2 linked regions of the Caenorhabditis elegans genome follow. The protein of the gene in region 2 interacts with the protein of the main gene of each other region in a pairwise test. Each region holds a gene or a part of one and is shown on either strand. Other genes may lie near its edges.

Region 1 (8,313 bases), on a different chromosome or scaffold from region 2:
AATCAGCGTTTTTTCAAGTTCATTTTTGAACCAGAAAACAGAAGAAAACGTCGCTAATCTCTGATTGGTCTTTTTGTTGGTTTATTGAACATTAGATGTTTGTTGAGGCAAATTTTTTTCAGGACAAGTTTGATTTTGTTGTTGAAAACGATTCTCGAGATGTGCTCAGAAATAGTTCAGAGCTGAGAGTTCGAGCACTTGTTTCCGTGCAACCAGTGATTGTAGAAGCAGATACAGCAACTCCACTGACAACTTCACAGATAAATGCATCAACATTACTAGTAAGAATAAACTTTAAATAATTCTTTCATAGAGTAGTGTATAATTATTTTTCAGAATTCATCACCTCGGTTCTTTCTTACTTCCCCGCTCAAATTTGGACGCTTGACGTTTGATCCGAATACCAATTATTCCACATACTATTTTACGAATACTGATATTCAAAAAGGAATCGTATATTATAAGGCATTTAGCACAGAGGAAGAAGTTCACGAGATTGTACAATTAGAAGTACGAGCCGATAATGTTCAACCAGCACGATTTACTCTTCCAATCACCATACTTCGTGCTGATATGGAAAACTATGATCCTTCGACAACTGGAGATCAAATGATTCCATATTCAAATGGTGGATCTGACTCAACGAAATTCTCAATATTTGGAGAAAACAATCTTCCGGTAGTTATACTTGGAGCCATTGTTGCCGCAACAATATTCGTTTTGATATGTAGAAGATGCGGAGAAGGAAAGAAGAAAAATAAAACAAGGACTCCGATTAATGCAAAATTGGATACACCAACCAGGCTTCCACCATCACCATCAGAGAGTATTGATCATGAAAAACCACCCGACTTGTTGGGTACAACTGTATTTGCATCAGTGAGACAAGCCGAGGATAGGATGACAATGAAGTCATTTAATAAACCACCTAAACCAGAGGTAGGGATTTATATATTTTTTCATGTTATATTTAAAATTATTAATTAACAATAACAGTCAGTGCTTATCTCCTAACAGCCCACAGAAATAGATAAACTAGAAAGCCTCTAATTGGTCGGAAACTAAGCAGAGCTGATTGCTGATCGGTCTTGGAGTTCTCATTTTGGAGACACAGACAGGGAGATCGTCCAGATTATTTTGATATTTAATTTTTTACTAACAAAATCTTCCTTGTGGTATTTCAAAATTACAGACTGTTCCCAGTAGTTTATAGACAAACTATATCTACCTGTAATTCATGAAAGTTTTCGAGTCATCTAATCTTCTGGAAAATTAAAAACTTTCAAACCGAATCCGCACGGTTAATCAATAACTTTCCAGTCATCTTCATCACGAAAACCTCCAAATCCTCGTCGTCAAAATGTATCTTCTCTGGATTACGCAGGAATAACATCTGATACTCCACCTCCAATGCGATTATTTGAGCAAGTTGCTCAAACACAACCGACAAATCATTATTGGGTATAACAAGAAATCACTTCAATTTCCCGAAACTATTAATTTCCAATCAACCTACAGTGCCTTTCCGTTTCTCAAAATCATTCTCTACGTCTCTGTGATCTCATTGAATTCATTTTTAGTTATAAATGCAAATTTATTATTTCAAAAATATTTATTTAAAAAAATTACGAGTTACTTCTGAGTTTCCAAGAAATAATATTGTTTTGGAGTGCGACAAAGAAGAATATCAGTGCAAATCTTATCGGCTTCTTCGTGATCCTTCAGTTTATTGATAATGTATTCCAAATTCTTCTCGATCACCTTTTCACACATATCAACCATAAATGATGGAACATCTTCTTTGCAAAATTTGTCAACTGCCTGAAAATAAGCTTTAATTGGTTGATCAGAGGCATAATTGAAATAAAGAATTGTTAAAGGTATTTGAATCTCTTACCGCTTCAATATCACCTCCGTGTTCCAAAACCTGATCGAGCTGCTTTACAACATTAACACAAAGTCCGCAGAGTGGTTTTGACGTATCCGAATGCATTTTCTTGGCGCCTTCCACGTTTGAAACAGTCAAAGTTATTGCCAAAAAGGCAAGTAAAATAAGATAATTCATTGCAATGAAAACGTGTGGAAAGAATAAACTTCTGACTTAGAAAAACAATAAGAATGCGGAGAAAGTGTAAAAAGAGTGACCGCGATCAGGAACAGCTGTTTGTCAGCAGTTATAAGAGGAAAAGTGTAAAGTGTTTACAAGTTTGACTCAATTTATTCACTAACCAGAAACGTTTGGAGCTCTACAAACTACATACACTTCACACTCTGAACACATATTCAGATAGATATGATGAAAACGAATTTAGGTGTTAATGGCTCAATATGCTAAGTTTACAGTTTTGGAAAAACCTACAAATATTTGTAAAGAACACCGGTTCTTTGCTCTAACATCGCCTTCTGTCGCAACTGAAAATCAGCGAATATCAACAAAAAGTTTCGCACAAAATGTTTATTCCAATTATTTGCTGGAATCATATTTCATTTCAAATGTGCACATTATTTCACTATACCACCCAAATATATTACTTTTATTATCAAGCTTTTACTGATAGGAACCTATTGATTGAGCCTAGTTTCTTCAACTAAAATGGAAGAAAATTTACATTATTGCAACTTAGCAATCACATTAATTGCTGTTCTCGCGTTTTCTCATATTCATTACAGGCAAGTGATTCATCAAGAAGATATATTATAAAAAAACTGCAGAAAAAAATTAATTTCAGAATTTGGACATTGGAATCCGAATGTCAATCTCTCACTGAACTAAATTTTCGTTCCAAACGTGATATTCCCCTATCAAGAGGCAAAAATGCTTCAGACATCCTGTGGCTAACATCCTTGTCTTCTGTAAAAATTGGAGAGCTAATGCACAAATGTACTGAAATTCATGAATACTGTAGTGAACAAGACGACGTGCGCGGGAAACCGGGCCCTGTTGGACCTGTAGGCCCACCTGGAAAGAGTGGACCTGCTGGACCACAAGGACGAAGAGGGTTAATGGGAATCCCAGGGCACCCTGGACCTGTGGGACCACCTGGAAATATTGGAAAAGATGCGGATTGTTCTTCATGCCCGATTAGAGATGAGCTGTTGATGGAAAGGGAGTTCAAATGTCCTACTGTAAGTTTGAAAGGGGCTGGACCTACAACCTAGAAAGGTAGGTCGCAGATCGTGACTTCTAGCTGAAATATAAAGTTGTTCAAGATTCTGTGAGCTATGTAGATTGTCTAACAACCTAGCTTCTCTGGGCTTCTCAAAGAAGGAAAGAATTTACAGATTGAAAATCTGGAATGCCCGAACAGAGAAGCCATTCCAACAACTCCCTGGCCTTCAGTCACACATCAACCAATGCCTGGATTGGTTCAGCAGGTGACTTCAGTAATAACTTTCAGATCCAAAGCATATTTTCAGATCCTTTCCAACTACAGTGAAGTCGAGGGATGCGTGAAAATATGTTTGAAAAACTACACTCTCGATGAAGAAATTGAAGAGACCATTACGACTCCAGTTGCATATATTCAAGGAGTTACTGCCCGTAAGTATTATATTCAGTCTTAAAAGGAGTTGAAGAATGTTAAGATTGCCGACTTCAAAACGTTGGAAAACCTGTGTTCCATTCTCATTCTACAACATATTATGGAAGCTGGATGAGAGATGCATACCCTCCAACCGGCGATGTAAGTTTGGGAGCTTGAAAATGGAACTGAAAAATTTGCTCACACTTTATTCAACTCTTTCTGTATGTATGTTCGTGGTTCATTTTTCGGAGGCGTTTTCCGGTCGAGACGTTCGGGCATGAAAATGCTAAAAAACCGGGAAAAAGTAAAAAAAAGTTTGGAAAGCTGTCACAAACCGAAACTCACTGGTTCGCCGAGTACTGGTATACTGTACATTATGAGAAAGGCATATCTCAACATATGTATATCTTGTTTCAGGACGCTAGAAAACGATACGTAATGAACCATTTCCAAGGCCACGAGCTCATCGAATTTAGGAATGAAGCTGAAATGCGACGGGACCATGTCGGAAAAGTGTATGGTTTTCTTTCAAAATTTTTCAAATATTTGAGAACTTTTTATTCTTTTTCAGCCATCGCCTTCCATATATATTCGATGGAACAAATCATGTTATTTTCAATGCATCTCTTTTCTATCAAAGAGCAGGATATCCAATTATTGCAAAATACGAGTTCAACTCGAAACAGTACTCACAGTTTGAAATACCGGGAGCAGCTTATCGTGGGGATCAGGTGAGTTTTGAAATTGTTTTAAGTCAAAGTTTCCAATTTCAGTACCTTTATAATAATTCGATGAATTATTTTGACTTGGCAATCGATGAAAATGCACTTTGGGTCATGTTTCACTATCAGGAAGAAGCTTTCTTATCAGTAGCTAAAGTAATTTTAAGTTGTTCATTGAAATCTATCTACTAGGTACTATTCCAGGTGGATATAAATAATTTGACAATTTATGAGGCATTCAACCTCACGACAGTAAATCATACAGATGTTGCAAATGGAATCGTCGTTTGTGGAACAATTTATTTGGTTTAGAATTTTTTATTTGATATCAAGCTTGACCAATAGCAAAATCAAATCAACATTATTCCAGGTGGAAAGTGCATCAGAACAATCCACGTATATCTCTACGGCATACGATTTCTACAGAAACACATACTCCCAACCTTTGATTAAATGGATTAATTTGTACAAGAACGCCAATATGATTAGCTATAATGCTTATGATAAGAGAATTTACATCTACGATCATGGTTATATGCTCTCTGTACCTCCACTTTTGCATTGGCTGGCTAAATAATTTGTGTAGTACATAGTTCATTTACTATATTTTAAAATAAATTCAGTTTTATTCGAGAAATATAAAGTAATTAATTTATCGTGAATATCGTGAAAGTAGCTCTTTCCTATATATTTTTTCAGGAGTTTTAGTTCCCCTTTCTCGAATTTCTGTGGTGTCTCACGCAACGACGCTCCGTTTTACACACTCGCGCGTACTTTATCGTAATTCCACAAAACCTTTTTTCCATCATTTTTCTATTAATTCCATAGTTTTCCTCGATTTTTTGTTGCAATTTCAAGCGATGAGTGGAAATCGGAAGCGAAACACATCAGAGCCTCGTGAGGACGATGAAGATGACTATTCCACTAAACGAAAACGGAATAACGAAGCTGTGAACAGGTAAAATTTCATTTTTAGCCGCTAAAATCTAATTAAAAATTCCAGAACCCGACAAAAAAAACGCCAGGAAGAAAATGACACTGCAGAAAAAGTAGACGAATTAAAAAAGGAGAACGAAACACTAGAAAGAAAGGTACTTGTTTACTTGATTTTTTAATTTTAATTAATTCCCTCTATCAGGTCGAGCAGCTACAGAAAGAGTTATCATTTCTTAAAGAAATGTTTATGGCATATGCGAAAAACGACGGAAATGATGGACCACCACCACCGCCACCACCATCTTCTTCCGCCGTGTAGATAACAATTTAATCAAAGATTTATCCACCATTTCTGTAAATTTTATACAAATAACTCAATTCACGCATTCCAATAACCAAAGAAAAATAAATTTAGAAAACGCTTTACTTTCTTTTTTAAACTGTTTTTTTTTGTGTGGTACGTTTCCAACAATTTATCTTGAATGATCTTATTAATTAACTTTTTGAATTTGTGTTGTATCAAAAAAAACGTTTCTTTCAGATGACCGAAACGGAGCAAGAAGCGTTTGCTGATTTAGTGGCAGAACTGGAAACTCAAACTGCAGAAGCAGTAAAAGCTTTCAGTAAAGTTTTCGATCGGATGGAGGAAACGAACGATGACAAAGAAGTGAAATGAAAACCTCAAGATTTATTCAAAAACTTTTTTATTTACAGGGGCTTAGTCTTCTGAAGCTGAAAAACTATGAAATGACAGCGTACCTTGGAGAGTTGACTGTCCTTATGTCGAAAATGATGAAAGGAGAGTCAATTACAGTAGAACCATCTGTTAAAAGAGCTTTAAAGCATAGAGTGGTATGTATTTTAGTATTCCAACTGTTCCTAAAAAACTAGTTTCAGTTCATTGAAAAAATGAAACCAGTCGAGGATAAGATGAAACCTCAAATTGAAAAGCTACTAGGCCGGTCAAGCGCCGAGAGTGGAGCATCAAATGGTTCTTCCAAGGGAAATCACAGAGTTCGATTAGACAATATGGACGTTGAAGGAGATGAAGAAGAAGAGGAGGAAGATGAAGATGATGAGGAAGGAAAAGGAGCAAAGGAAGTTAAGAAATATGTGGCACCAAGAATTAGAGCAGTTCGATATGAAGGTATGTTCAAAAATTAGTTTTCCGTAAAGTTATGTTCATTTTAGAAGAAGACGAAGCTCCGAACAAGCAACAAGAAAAGGCAAAACGTCGTGCAATGCAAAGTAGTCTTATTATGGAACTCAAAAATCAATACAGTGATGCTCCGGAAGAAATTCGAGAGATGAGTGAGAAGAAATATCAATATGATCGTGAGAGAGAACGTTATGAGGAGGATAACTTCACCAGAATTCGATTGAATAAGGATCAGAAACGACGAAGCGAACAACTAGGACGTTCGGAAACTCTTGATGATTTGCTCAGTTTTGGAGATTATATGATGAGAGGAGAAGATGGTAGAGCACTTTCCGAAGGAAATAAAAGGTAATCTTTAACTTTTAAAATTGTCCAACATATGATCCATTATTCAGAAAGCGTGCTACATCTTCTGGTGCTGGCGGGGACACAAAACGACACAAAAAATCCCAAAAGGAACGAAAGAAAGCGGCAAAAGGAAAGAAGGAAGGACGAAAAAGGGCTATTCGCAGAAGACAATAATGTTTTTTGTTGCATTTTTATTTGCCAGTTGTTGAATTTTTTGTTAACTTTTTATTTGTTTTGTTTTACTTGTTTTTATTGTATTAGAAACAACACTTAAAAAAAATATTTTCAAAAAACAATTTCCAGAGCGGTTGCAAAGCCAAATATCTGTAAAACTTCCAAGGAAAGCTTTTTTACTAAAAGACCTTCAGATCAAAAATGGGTGGTGGAAAGTATGAGACTCAAATGTGTGTAATTATCATCGAAGATATTTTCGGAAAGGTAAGAATTTAAAAACTTTCTTTTTAAACTTTTTTTGAATTACAGATTGTGGCGAAAGTAATGGAGACGATTCTGAAAGAAAGCTGCCAGTTGTCTACTCTTTTTTATAAACTGAAAGGACAAATTTCAAATACTCTAGTTAGTTATATTGATTTGGAGGATATTGAGTTCACTTGCAGAAAAAATAGATAAATTTTCAGATCAGAAAATCGGTTTCCACATTGATCAACTTTGGTTTTGTTACTTTCCACTTGGACACGAACAATCGAACCACATATGTTGCAGATTCCGACCAAATTCAACATGTCATTTCCTCGCCGAGGTAAAAAGTTGTAAATATATTTTATAGAGCCAAATATATAATTTTCAGAGCTTGCCTCATTGCTAAAACGCTCTACGGACCTGCTGCAGAGTCTATCTGCGTCGAACTTATTTCTCAAGGGCGGCTTACCGTATCCGAGACAATTCGTCGAATTCAAGCGACAGATGAGACGGCCGTGTTCAGTGACATCAAGAAATCTTTCGAAGAACTCGCAGCTGCACATTTTCTCATTCGAGTTCCGTCTGTAGAATCAGAAATTCATGGTTGTCCTCAATTTGTGACCAATTTTGATCCATTTGCAATATCTACTAATATCATGGAAAAGAAAGAAGGTAATGAGAATAAAATAGTATAAAGCAATCTTTAAATTTAGAATGCGGTCTGTATTGTATTGTATTGTATTTATTACGATTGAAATCGTGATCAAAAATAAATAGTGAATAGACATGTAGGAAAATGATTAAATTTATTTCTATCATGCATGATACTTAAATTACTAAATATTGAAATCTAAATTTTTTAAAAATTTGTTTTAATTCGTGTTAAAAAGTGGTTCAAATGAGTTCGCTCTTAGAGAAATCTGAAGCACTATGAAATATAAATATTTCAAACATAATAAAACTGAAAAAAAACATTTGCTTGACAGCATCCAAACAAATTGGTGAAAAATGAGTTTTCACCGGTTTTTGGTTCAAAATATATGATTTTCCGAATTTTTTGAAATGTTTTATTATGATATACATATTCGGGCATTTTAGCACCATAGTAATCTTTTTAAATAAATTCCATATATTTTATTACAGGAACATCCACTAGCGACTCAACTTCAAACAACCGAAAGCGAAAAGCTGATTCAACTCCAGA
Region 2 (9,580 bases):
GCACAGCACTGGTGTCAACCTTCATAGACTTTCTTCAGCCTTGATTGAGGGTCTCAAGCAAGGGTGTGCGGCAAATTTGCCAAATATGAGAAGGACGGCAAATTTCAAAAAAGTGTATTTGCCGAATTTGCCGAACTGGGCAAATTTTGAAATTTGCCGCACACACCACAAACTGGATTTTAAAAATTTAACTGAAACTATTGATTTTGTTCAACACGCCTCTGGTATCATGAGCATTTTCATCAAAGAAACATACTTTATCTTGTTCACCGTCTCAGAAAACTCATATCTGTGAATTTTTATCTCTATAAAAAGTCTATAAATTCAAAATTCCAATTCAAGACGTCTCGTTTTTTCCAGATTCTTTGCTACAGTTACTGTTATTTTGAATGAATGGCGGTTATAGAATTTTTTGTGTTGAACAGAATGAAATGCGTTGCTTCTAGTAAAAATGGCCTAAATTTAAAAAAATTGGGCGACCATATAACAAACCGTACCTCCAACACTAAATCAGCCTGTTGCTTCTTTGCATTAAAAATATTTCGATAGTAGTTAATAGGATATTTGAATGAGGCTCCATTCATTGAAAATGAATACTTCCATGCTTCCAAATCCTCATCCGTGAAGTTCTTGTTGTTTTGTATTCCAATTTCTTTGGCTCTAAAGCAGAGCTCCAACATTTTCATATCATCAGCCGAACACAGCATTTCTGGTATTTTCTCGTTTTGGTAGAAGAACATGTACCTAAAGTTGTAAATGATATGTTGCACTCATCAGAATACTCACCAGCTTTTTCTGAACTGTGACCAGCTGGTATAAATTCGTTTTCTAAAAGACCCGGGTCTTGGAATGTTGCAACAAATCAACTTATCCACCATCTCTGGATACTGTTCCGCGAATTGCCACGCAACAAGACCTCCCCAGTCATGAGCAACTACAATAGCTTTGTCATAACCAAGACCTTCAATGACATCTCGAATATCTCCAGTTAGCTCATCAATTGAATAATTATCCACGTGTTTTGGCTTATCGGAAAGATTGTAGCCACGTTGATCGATTGCCACACATCTGGAATTTAACGTTATAAATCTTACACGCATCGATAGTTTTGGTAACATAGCTAGACAGTTTTTATAAATTCCAACAAAAATTGTTTTCAAAAATCGCAAGTATTTAAAAAAGTTTCATATTTTCAAAATGTTCACAAAAATTTTTACACAATTTTCAAAATGATGCAATTTGGCAAGGTTTGAAGGTTTTCATTAATTGTTCAGCTCAAAACGTAGTAAATTTCTTTTGTTGCAAACATCAGTAGATGAAATAACAATAACCTTGTTACCGTGCCGTGGGGACCTTTTGTGGTAAGTCCAAGCATTTAAACGCAGCGACTGATTCTTAATAATTTTATTTTAAATTCCGTCTTTTTTACGTTTCGATTTTTAATTAATAATCTTGATAACCAACACCTCCCCTCGTTGAAATGGATACTTTTTCAGATTGATCTCGCATCGTTGAACATCGAAATTTATCCATGATAGTAAATTTAATCTGGTGTCAAACCTCAAAGAGCGTTTGACGGCGTTGAGCGATTATGACTCGTGTTCTACTCCGTGCTCCGTGCTCCGTGCTCCGTGCTCCGTGCTCCGTGCCCCGAGAAAATTAGTAGAGTTAGTGAATCTGACAAAGTTGAATGTCCAAGTGAGGTGGTTTTCCGGAGTCCAACAATGACAAATGATAGTAAGATTTGTGAAGAGAGTGGTGTTGAAGAGAAGATTAGACAAGTTAGGAAAGTTTGAAGATGTAGATAGTGCCTCAAGTTTTGAGTCATAATCGAAAAAAAACGCCCTTGGAGGTTTGACACCAGAAGAAGTGCATCTGGAACGTCGAAAACTGTCATGGATGAAGATCGATGTTCAACGATGCGAGATCAAAATGAAGCTAACAAGTACCAATTTCAACAAGGGGAAAATATGCAACATATTCTTGATTTAACTACATTAATAAACCTATAATCGAATATTGCTCAGTCGTCTACTCTCCCTCTCCTAACTCTAAACTCTCTGCTCATCTTGAAAAGCCTCTTAGATCATTCTCTCGACAAGTATTACAAAGATGCAATATCTCATTTACTTCTTATGAAAACCGTCTTCTAATTCTTAATATCTACTCGATTCGTCATCGAAGGCTTAAGGCAAAGCTTCTACTTCTTTATAAATTCATAAGCGGTACCTCTTACTTCCCAAATCTAAACGATCTGATCAGAATTACAGAGTCTAAAAGAAGGCCTATGATTATTATTTGTACAAAACCAAAAATTACTGATTTTTTCACCTCAACCGTCCCCGTCTGGAATGCTATTTTTCATAATACTCCCCATTTCCTTTCTCCCCGTGAATTTGTTAAAGTTATTGATTCCTCCATAACACGGTTCTGAATAATTTTGTTTGACGGTTATAATTAATTCTATGATCTCTAATTTCCCTAAAAGTCTTTTTTTTCCCTTTCTTCTCTCAATGCCGGTCTATTTTTTTCCTCTCTTTGCCGGACTCGTGAGGGTCCCGACTTTTTTATTGTTTTGATTAACTTTGATTAAACAATAAATTCACTTGTGGGTCATCCTCAACCGTGATTCCACTAGACTCGAAGTCTTTCTCAACAGTAATTTTTTTTTTAAAGCACCTGTATTTATCTGCAAATTCTTTCAACTGAAATCTCCAAGAATACCAAAACTCGGGGTATCCATGAATAAATAGCATTAATGGTTTGTCATCGGATCCAGTTTGGACATAATGAAGCCGCACTTTCTGCAATTTTTCATAGTGCAAAATTTAAAAAAAACTATTTTTTACCTTTAACTTGATGTACCTGCTGTCCCATCCTTCCAAAACGTTTGGCTTCTCCCGCTGCTTTTTCTCAAACAATGATCTTCCTTTAACCGCAAATCCCAGGAATAGAATTGCCGAGAATTTGACAAAATAATAAAATTGTAAGAGGCGGACGAGTATTCTATAGAGAAACATTGTCAAGTAATAAGAAAACGAACCGAACGCAAGGTCGTGACGGGAGAGAGGAAGACTACAATTTATCGGCCGACACAGACACAAAAAGTAAAGAAGATAACCAATAATTTTGTAATTGGGACAATTACATGTAGTGTGGCACACAAACTTCTTGTATTTAGAAAATTTGTTCAAACATTGTATGTATATACTTTCAAACAACATTTGGTCAGTTTTTAGAATGCGATCATTTATTTTCTAGTGTCATTTCACATCCTATACTTAAATATTTTGTGTAAGCGTGTTGGCTTGCAAAACAAGGAAAAACAACAAATATTTAAATCCTTTTGTGGATTTCGAGCTGGTGGTTTTAATATGCACCCACATTTTACAGCGCCTTCTTTGTTATTCTTTCATGTCTACATTATCCCAACTCCGGAGTTAGCTCAAAATTTCCTTTGATCTCCTGAACTTTGAAGCTGAAGCCACAGACACATTCTATTTTTGGTTTTCATTTTCATATTTTGCTCTGACTACAAATTTACGTCTTTGTTTTTCTGGTTTTTCCGGTTGCTTGGCAACAATTGCAATCGCTTATTTGTGTTCAATAACATAAAGTCATACAAACGGAAATCGAAGAAAAATTAATGAAGAAATGTAAAATTGAATATTTATTTTTTATAATTGAATCAACCAGGAGCTTTGTCGAATGTTGATTAATTTTGGCAAGCAGCCTTTTGGATAAATGATTCATTAACTTTAAAATATAAACGAAAAAAACTGTTCCTACGTTGAGAGTACTCCGCTTTGAAAATTATGAAACTACAGTAGTTTGTGACTAGGTACATCTTGTGACATACTGTTGCACAACATTGCATCAAGAGTGGACTATATAAACTGAACTCATTTGAAGAAAATCTTTCACATTTTGTATTCTCAGTCTTCAAATGGATCATATGATTTTCTAACAAGTCGCCCTTTCGACGTCCTGTCAATGCAATGTGTGATCAAAAAGGTTAGTCAGAAATACATTTTATTGAACAGGGTAAACATTGGAAAAAAGCGAAGATTACTCAGAAAACTCCGCTTATCAATCTTCAATTCTTATCAAATGACGTTATGAAGAATTGAAGCAAAAGTCCAATGTGCGATTGTTTAAATGGAATGTATATGTTCTATGAAGTTGTTATTATACCTATGTGTTAAATTCAAATATCGAAAATAAGCAAATGTTAATAAATTTGCTCATAGAACGCACAAGTAATGAGTTCACACCATATCTTGTCTGTATATAAAAATTCACAATGTATTTGAATAAATTATGTCGTACTTGATAAGTAGTGACGTCGGTTGTGATATAAATGCTTGATTAATTTTTGTTTGAATCACAATAATAGTTATTTTTCATACATTTCTCTGGGACGGTACGGGAACAATTTTTTACATGTACTTCAGGTATTTTTGAGAAGCTAACAATTTTCCATATCTAATTGGAAATCAATCATCATCAATTGTGACCTCCTGCAATCCAGTTTTTGTTCAATTAGAGATGCTTCATGAATTTTGTCAATGTGAATCAGAATACTTTCATACTATTTATACTTTTGTACCGATGATCACCATCTGAGTAACCCAACGATGGGTCAGAATGTGTGTTTCAGTTCCTTGATCTTTTGGTTGTGGTCTGAATCAACACATATTCCTCTCCACACTTCGTTCACATTGTTGGTCGGCTGTGTCGGTCGGCGCACGCTCACTGTCCTATTCAAACACACTCTGCCATCCCTAATCCTCTTGCGACACACAGTGTCTTGTCGACCCCCGTCGTCTGTCTCCGACTGGGTGACATCATGTGAAATCTTGCCAAATGTTGTGCAATAGTGGGTGGAGCGTCCGCTCTAACGTGGTTTTTGGGTTTTCTCTGCCTCATTCTTTCGTTTTGACAAATTGTCCATTGGTGACTTTTTGTTTTTTTTTTCTATTTTGCTTACGGGAATCGATTGTTTTGACATGCTTTTGCCTAAACGGTGGTATTTTTCAGCAAGGGACCAGTTTCAAGGTCCCACGACCGCCACCGTCCGCGGAGCAATCAAAACGTCCATCAGTTCGCTTTCATCGCCTTCTCCAGGTTTGTCATATACAAATAATAATTACCTTTTTAAATCATTATCTTATGACGATGACGTGGCGATCACCAATATAAAAAATCAATACAATTCAAATTAAAACGAATAAAATCGATAATTAATATATTTCAGAAAAGTTTTCCCCACCTAGCTAGAAGCTAGCTCGTTTGTCACTAGATTTCGACGGCCTTCCCGAAGATTTCTTTTCTCCACAATGTATCACGCAAAGACAACCACCGATTTTAACATGTTCAGTCAACAGTGTTGCTTCATGGACGAGGCCAAGTATGGAGCCGGTTAGTTTTTCATAATTGGACGAATATTTTATTTTTACAAATAATTGTTCAGCTATCGGCTCCACTAGCCGTCGGGTTTTCGGCTTGGCCTCCGTCGCCGCCACTTCCGCCGTTGGCCCACTCACCGCTCCAGGATGCAGTCCACGCCGACCACAACCATCGTCGGATCCTCAACTCTTGCAGAAACCTGCCGGATTGCCTGACGACTACAGTTCCTCAGCTTCACCAGATCAATTCTGCCGAGCAATCTCCACTACAGTTCACGCATCAACCAAATTGCGATTTAATTGTGGTTCTCGACGAGCAAACGACCTACACGACTACAATGACACGACGTTCCCTACCGAAAGCGGACCGTTATTTGAGCGGTTAGTTGGCGAATTTGAGCGAATTTGAATCATAATTTGAATAATAAAATTTTCAGAGCCCAACATGAGCACGCCACAAGCTTCCCACGGGAGCTTTGAATTTGATGTACCAGAGTACACATCCTTCGACTATGCATTCGATTTCCCACCGGTTCCAGAAGCCTTCCCACCAGCCGCCAATAGTTCCTCGGCTGCATCTCCAGATGCAGATTTTCTTGATCTGGATTCTCTCATGAGCTGTGATATCACATCTCTTGACGCCTACATTCATGATGATTCCATTGCCTCTCCTTCTAACGCTTCACACATTTCTCCTCCAGCGTCGGACATTGATCCAGTTGACGAGTTCTTTCCACAGCTTGTGCACAATAATAAAAGTAAGCTTAAGACAGTATCACACTAATTAGGAAAATCCACGTCATCGTCTGAACCCATTTATATATTCTTTAACTCAGCTCTTTGTTCAATTTAAACATTAAAAACCATTTCAGTTCAATCATCTTCCTCCTCAACAGTTGAAACGACAATAACACGTGGGCGCAAAACTTCATCGGTATCGTCCGATTCGTCATCGGACTACCGTCATAAACGGGATAAGAACAATCTAGCATCCCAAAAATCTCGTCAAAAGCGCCAAGCCAAAATTCGCGAATCAAAGGAGGAAAGAGAGCGTCTAGAGAAGCGAAAAGTTCAACTTCAAGCAATGGTTTTAACCTTGGAGACTCAAGTCGAGGACTACAAGCGATTGGTCATGATGTTTGTAAAGCGATAAATATATTAATCAGATCGCGTTTTTTTCTCATTTTATTGTGTGTGTACATAAATTCAAATTTAATTTTATTTTGTTCTCGTTTTTTTCCTCATTACTTATCCCTTATCCCTTATTCACCAACCTCATTTTATCTCATCTCATCTCAATAGCAAATAGTATTTATATTCCTTTTCATTAATCAAAATAAAGTAGAAAAATAGAAATAATTAATCATAATCATCAGGAATATTAAGGAAAGTTCCAATAGAGGGAAAGTGAATAGCACTAAACCCATCAGTACCTCCAACTCCAGCAGCTGGCACGGCCCAATGTGCACCATAAGCGATTTGGCCCTGGAGCCAATCCACGTTCACGGATTCCGGGTGATAATAGTATTTGTTAGCATGATCGCGATTATGTGGGTCATCTGGATTCGGCTCCCAGAGCCCTGGTTTAGTGAATGGTGATCTACTACGAGGGCGATGCAGGATTCCTCGAGAGTCGGTTAAAGAGTTGTATTGATCTAATGCATTGGAGAACACACTGTCCGAAAATACTGGAACTGCTGCACCACCTGTAGTTTTTTTCACGCGTGGAAGATTGGGAGCTGATTGATCGGCATCTTTTAGAACTTGATCTCTGAAAGAAGATTTGCGACTTGGTTAGAAATAAATATAACATTTTCATTATTTCTTAAAGCAATTTATAGAGTCTAACCTGTGAGTTTAAGAACCTAATCATATGAGTTTGTCTAAGAGACAAGGTCGCAATTAAAGTTCTAAACTCCAGGGCCTGCAACTAAAATTCAAAACCTAAAAACGTAAAACCTAGGACTTGAACCTAAAAATCGGAACGTCAGAATCGGCGGTTAAACTTAATTAACTAAATATTAGGATTTTATGTTTAAATCCTAACTATTAGATGCATACCTTTAAGTTAAGATTCCATCACTCGAATTTTTATGTGTAAGTCGTTATTAGGCTTTTAAGCGCAGGTCTGAAGACGTTTGTTCTTAATTTTCAAATCTTAAATTCGGAACTCTTCCTGATTTTTTGACCCTTCGACTAAGGCTTACATAATCTAAATCTTATGCTTTTAATTTAACACCTTCTATAACACATTCCCTCTAAAAAGTTAGCAAAACAATTTTGTTATTTAACTCGAAAATAGAAATAATTCACCTTGAATTAGTTTGCTTTGGAAGTGGTGGCGCCGCAATTAGATGAACTGTTGTTCCATTCTTCAAAGTTATTACTTTATCAACGTTTTTTGTTGTAGTTTGGTTCAATTCCATTTCAAAATCGACAGTGTCATTCTTATTGTCTTCTAAAAATAAACTAGTATCATTTGGCCAAAAAACCATGTCAGAATCTCTCTTGAATCTTCGAGCAGATGCCGGTTTATACGGTAAAGTTTCACCAGAAGGAGCCAACAGTTGGAATGTTGTGGACGTCTTTGGTCCTTCCAAAACTTTTCCTTTTTCTGCTTTCGAATAGATAAACTGAGATGCATAATGGTATCTCTCGTATTTCGGGCATCCATAATACCAAAGTCTGCATGTGTTTAGAAATAGAGGCAATGGAGGTGGGTTGCAGAACTTTTGAACCGCTGGGTAATCGTAGTCACATTTGCATTCCTAGATTAGTTTGAATTCGAATTAATTTTAAAAAAGATCAACAAACCTTTGTACAATGTGGAAATATTCGTTCATCACAATCTGCGGAACACGGTCTTCTTTTCAGCAATTTAGCACGTCTGCTTGCTGCTGATGATTTTCTAATGGACTTCAATTTTTTTTAAATACACCTAATTTCATATTAACAGCTTTTACCGGATGGTCTAAATCTGGGAAATCTGATGTTCCACTTGCTGATTGTATTTGGCCCTTAGAAGCGGAGAATGGGTTAGCTGGCACTCTGCAATGGAAGTTTGCTTAAAAACTCGCGTGTGTCAACTCACCGCTCTTGCACACATGCTTTTTTATACGAAGGGCAGAATTTCGTGAAGATTTCCGCATTTTCAATATTGCCTCTGGCAAAAAAAAATGATTCGTAAGGTTTTTCGTTCAACAACTTACTTGCAATAATATTCATAGTTAACGCTGAACTTCTCACAGTATTCCTTCTTTGACCCTTTATACAAATACGTTTTATCTTCCCCTGTTGATGATCTACTCTCCTCATTACCACCTTCATTTCCCAAAAACGAGCCGGATTGCTTTAGTCTGTAACAGCAACAGACTGGAATTAATTCAAGCAGCAGGAATCTGTTGAAAGACAGCATCTGCAGTCAAACTATAAAATTCAATTTGAATAATAAAAGTACGGACCCTTGGTCAAATTTGAAAATTGCTCTGCTTTCTGGCACTAACAAGGAGTGACTAAACATACTTTTTCAAATTCAAACTTGCATTTTAATAATGTTGTTTGTTTACAATAAGCGTATAAAAATGTTCATAAACTAGTTTTGACTTTCTCGCGATGCTAGCACGCTTTGGTTGTGAACAAGGGACAGAATGGAGAGCTTCTTGTAAAAGAGAACTATCATACTTCCGAAAATGCCTAACAATGCACAACTGTAAGCAAATATTTTTCAGGTGTTAAAACAAAACTAGCGGGGCTTTATAAACTGAACAGGTTTTAATCATTCCTTCCCAATAGAAAATTAGACAACTACAGAAACCATGCAATCTTGTTTTGAGATACATCCAGAGTAAGAAAAAACCGAAGGTATACGAAAGTATCAAAAATAGACGACTCAACTCTTTATATACAAACAAATAACAAAACAATTCAAACAAAAAAAATAAATTAAATTCAAAAAAAAAAACATAACCATCTGCAGATACTCACGAAACTCGATCGGGACAGTTTTTCTTGTACGAATTGCAAAACTTTTCGTGTTCTGGAGACATGTCCCCGACACAATAGAAATTGTAGTTCTCCACGTAGTTTGTGCAGTACGCGGTTACTTCGTCAGTTCCGACTCCTTGTGCTTCTGGTTTCGCTTCTTCCGCTTCTTCTCCTTTTTTCTCTATCCT

Evidence for each region.
Region 1: the proteins of zip-2 (region 2) and cebp-2 interact in binary tests that used the Caenorhabditis elegans proteins (3 or more experiments, as listed by UniProt).

Annotation. Positions count from the first base shown.
Region 1 is NC_003279.8:6,247,978-6,256,290, forward strand, and holds cebp-2 (CCAAT/enhancer-binding protein homolog 2), read left to right. Parts: upstream 1-5,104; 5' UTR 5,105-5,106; coding exon 5,107-5,204; intron 5,205-5,249; coding exon 5,250-5,337; intron 5,338-5,384; coding exon 5,385-5,501; 3' UTR 5,502-5,607; downstream 5,608-8,313. Other genes in the region: C48E7.6 (Chondroitin sulfate proteoglycan 4), read left to right, coding at 123-281, 337-939, 1,321-1,467; spp-15 (Saposin B-type domain-containing protein), read right to left, coding at 1,633-1,821, 1,898-2,065; cof-2 (Olfactomedin-like domain-containing protein), read left to right, coding at 2,594-2,670, 2,730-3,126, 3,283-3,375, 3,418-3,541, 3,586-3,683, 3,942-4,039, 4,096-4,255, 4,298-4,402 and 2 more; lpd-2 (LiPid Depleted), read left to right, coding at 5,724-5,849, 5,897-6,034, 6,080-6,329, 6,374-6,689, 6,737-6,863; let-611 (DNA-directed RNA polymerase III subunit RPC3), read left to right, coding at 7,065-7,127, 7,173-7,265, 7,328-7,449, 7,498-7,781, 8,253-8,313. UniProt on the Caenorhabditis elegans protein: Transcription factor that binds to the promoter and the enhancer regions of target genes. Regulates expression of genes involved in fat metabolism, including ech-1.1 and fat-5.
Region 2 is NC_003281.10:829,048-838,627, forward strand, and holds zip-2 (Transcription factor zip-2), read left to right. Parts: upstream 1-5,040; 5' UTR 5,041-5,127; intron 5,128-5,257; 5' UTR 5,258-5,412; coding exon 5,413-5,421; intron 5,422-5,473; coding exon 5,474-5,789; intron 5,790-5,845; coding exon 5,846-6,166; intron 6,167-6,280; coding exon 6,281-6,561; 3' UTR 6,562-6,764; downstream 6,765-9,580. Other genes in the region: ceeh-1 (Epoxide hydrolase 1), read right to left, coding at 498-744, 787-1,068, 2,680-2,804, 2,850-3,224; dos-3 (Delta and OSM-11-like), read right to left, coding at 6,768-7,179, 7,722-8,176, 8,223-8,324, 8,372-8,456, 8,500-8,571, 8,618-8,764, 9,393-9,580. UniProt on the Caenorhabditis elegans protein: Transcription factor that binds to the promoter and the enhancer regions of target genes. May act together with the bZIP transcription factor, cebp-2. Involved in responding to mitochondrial damage.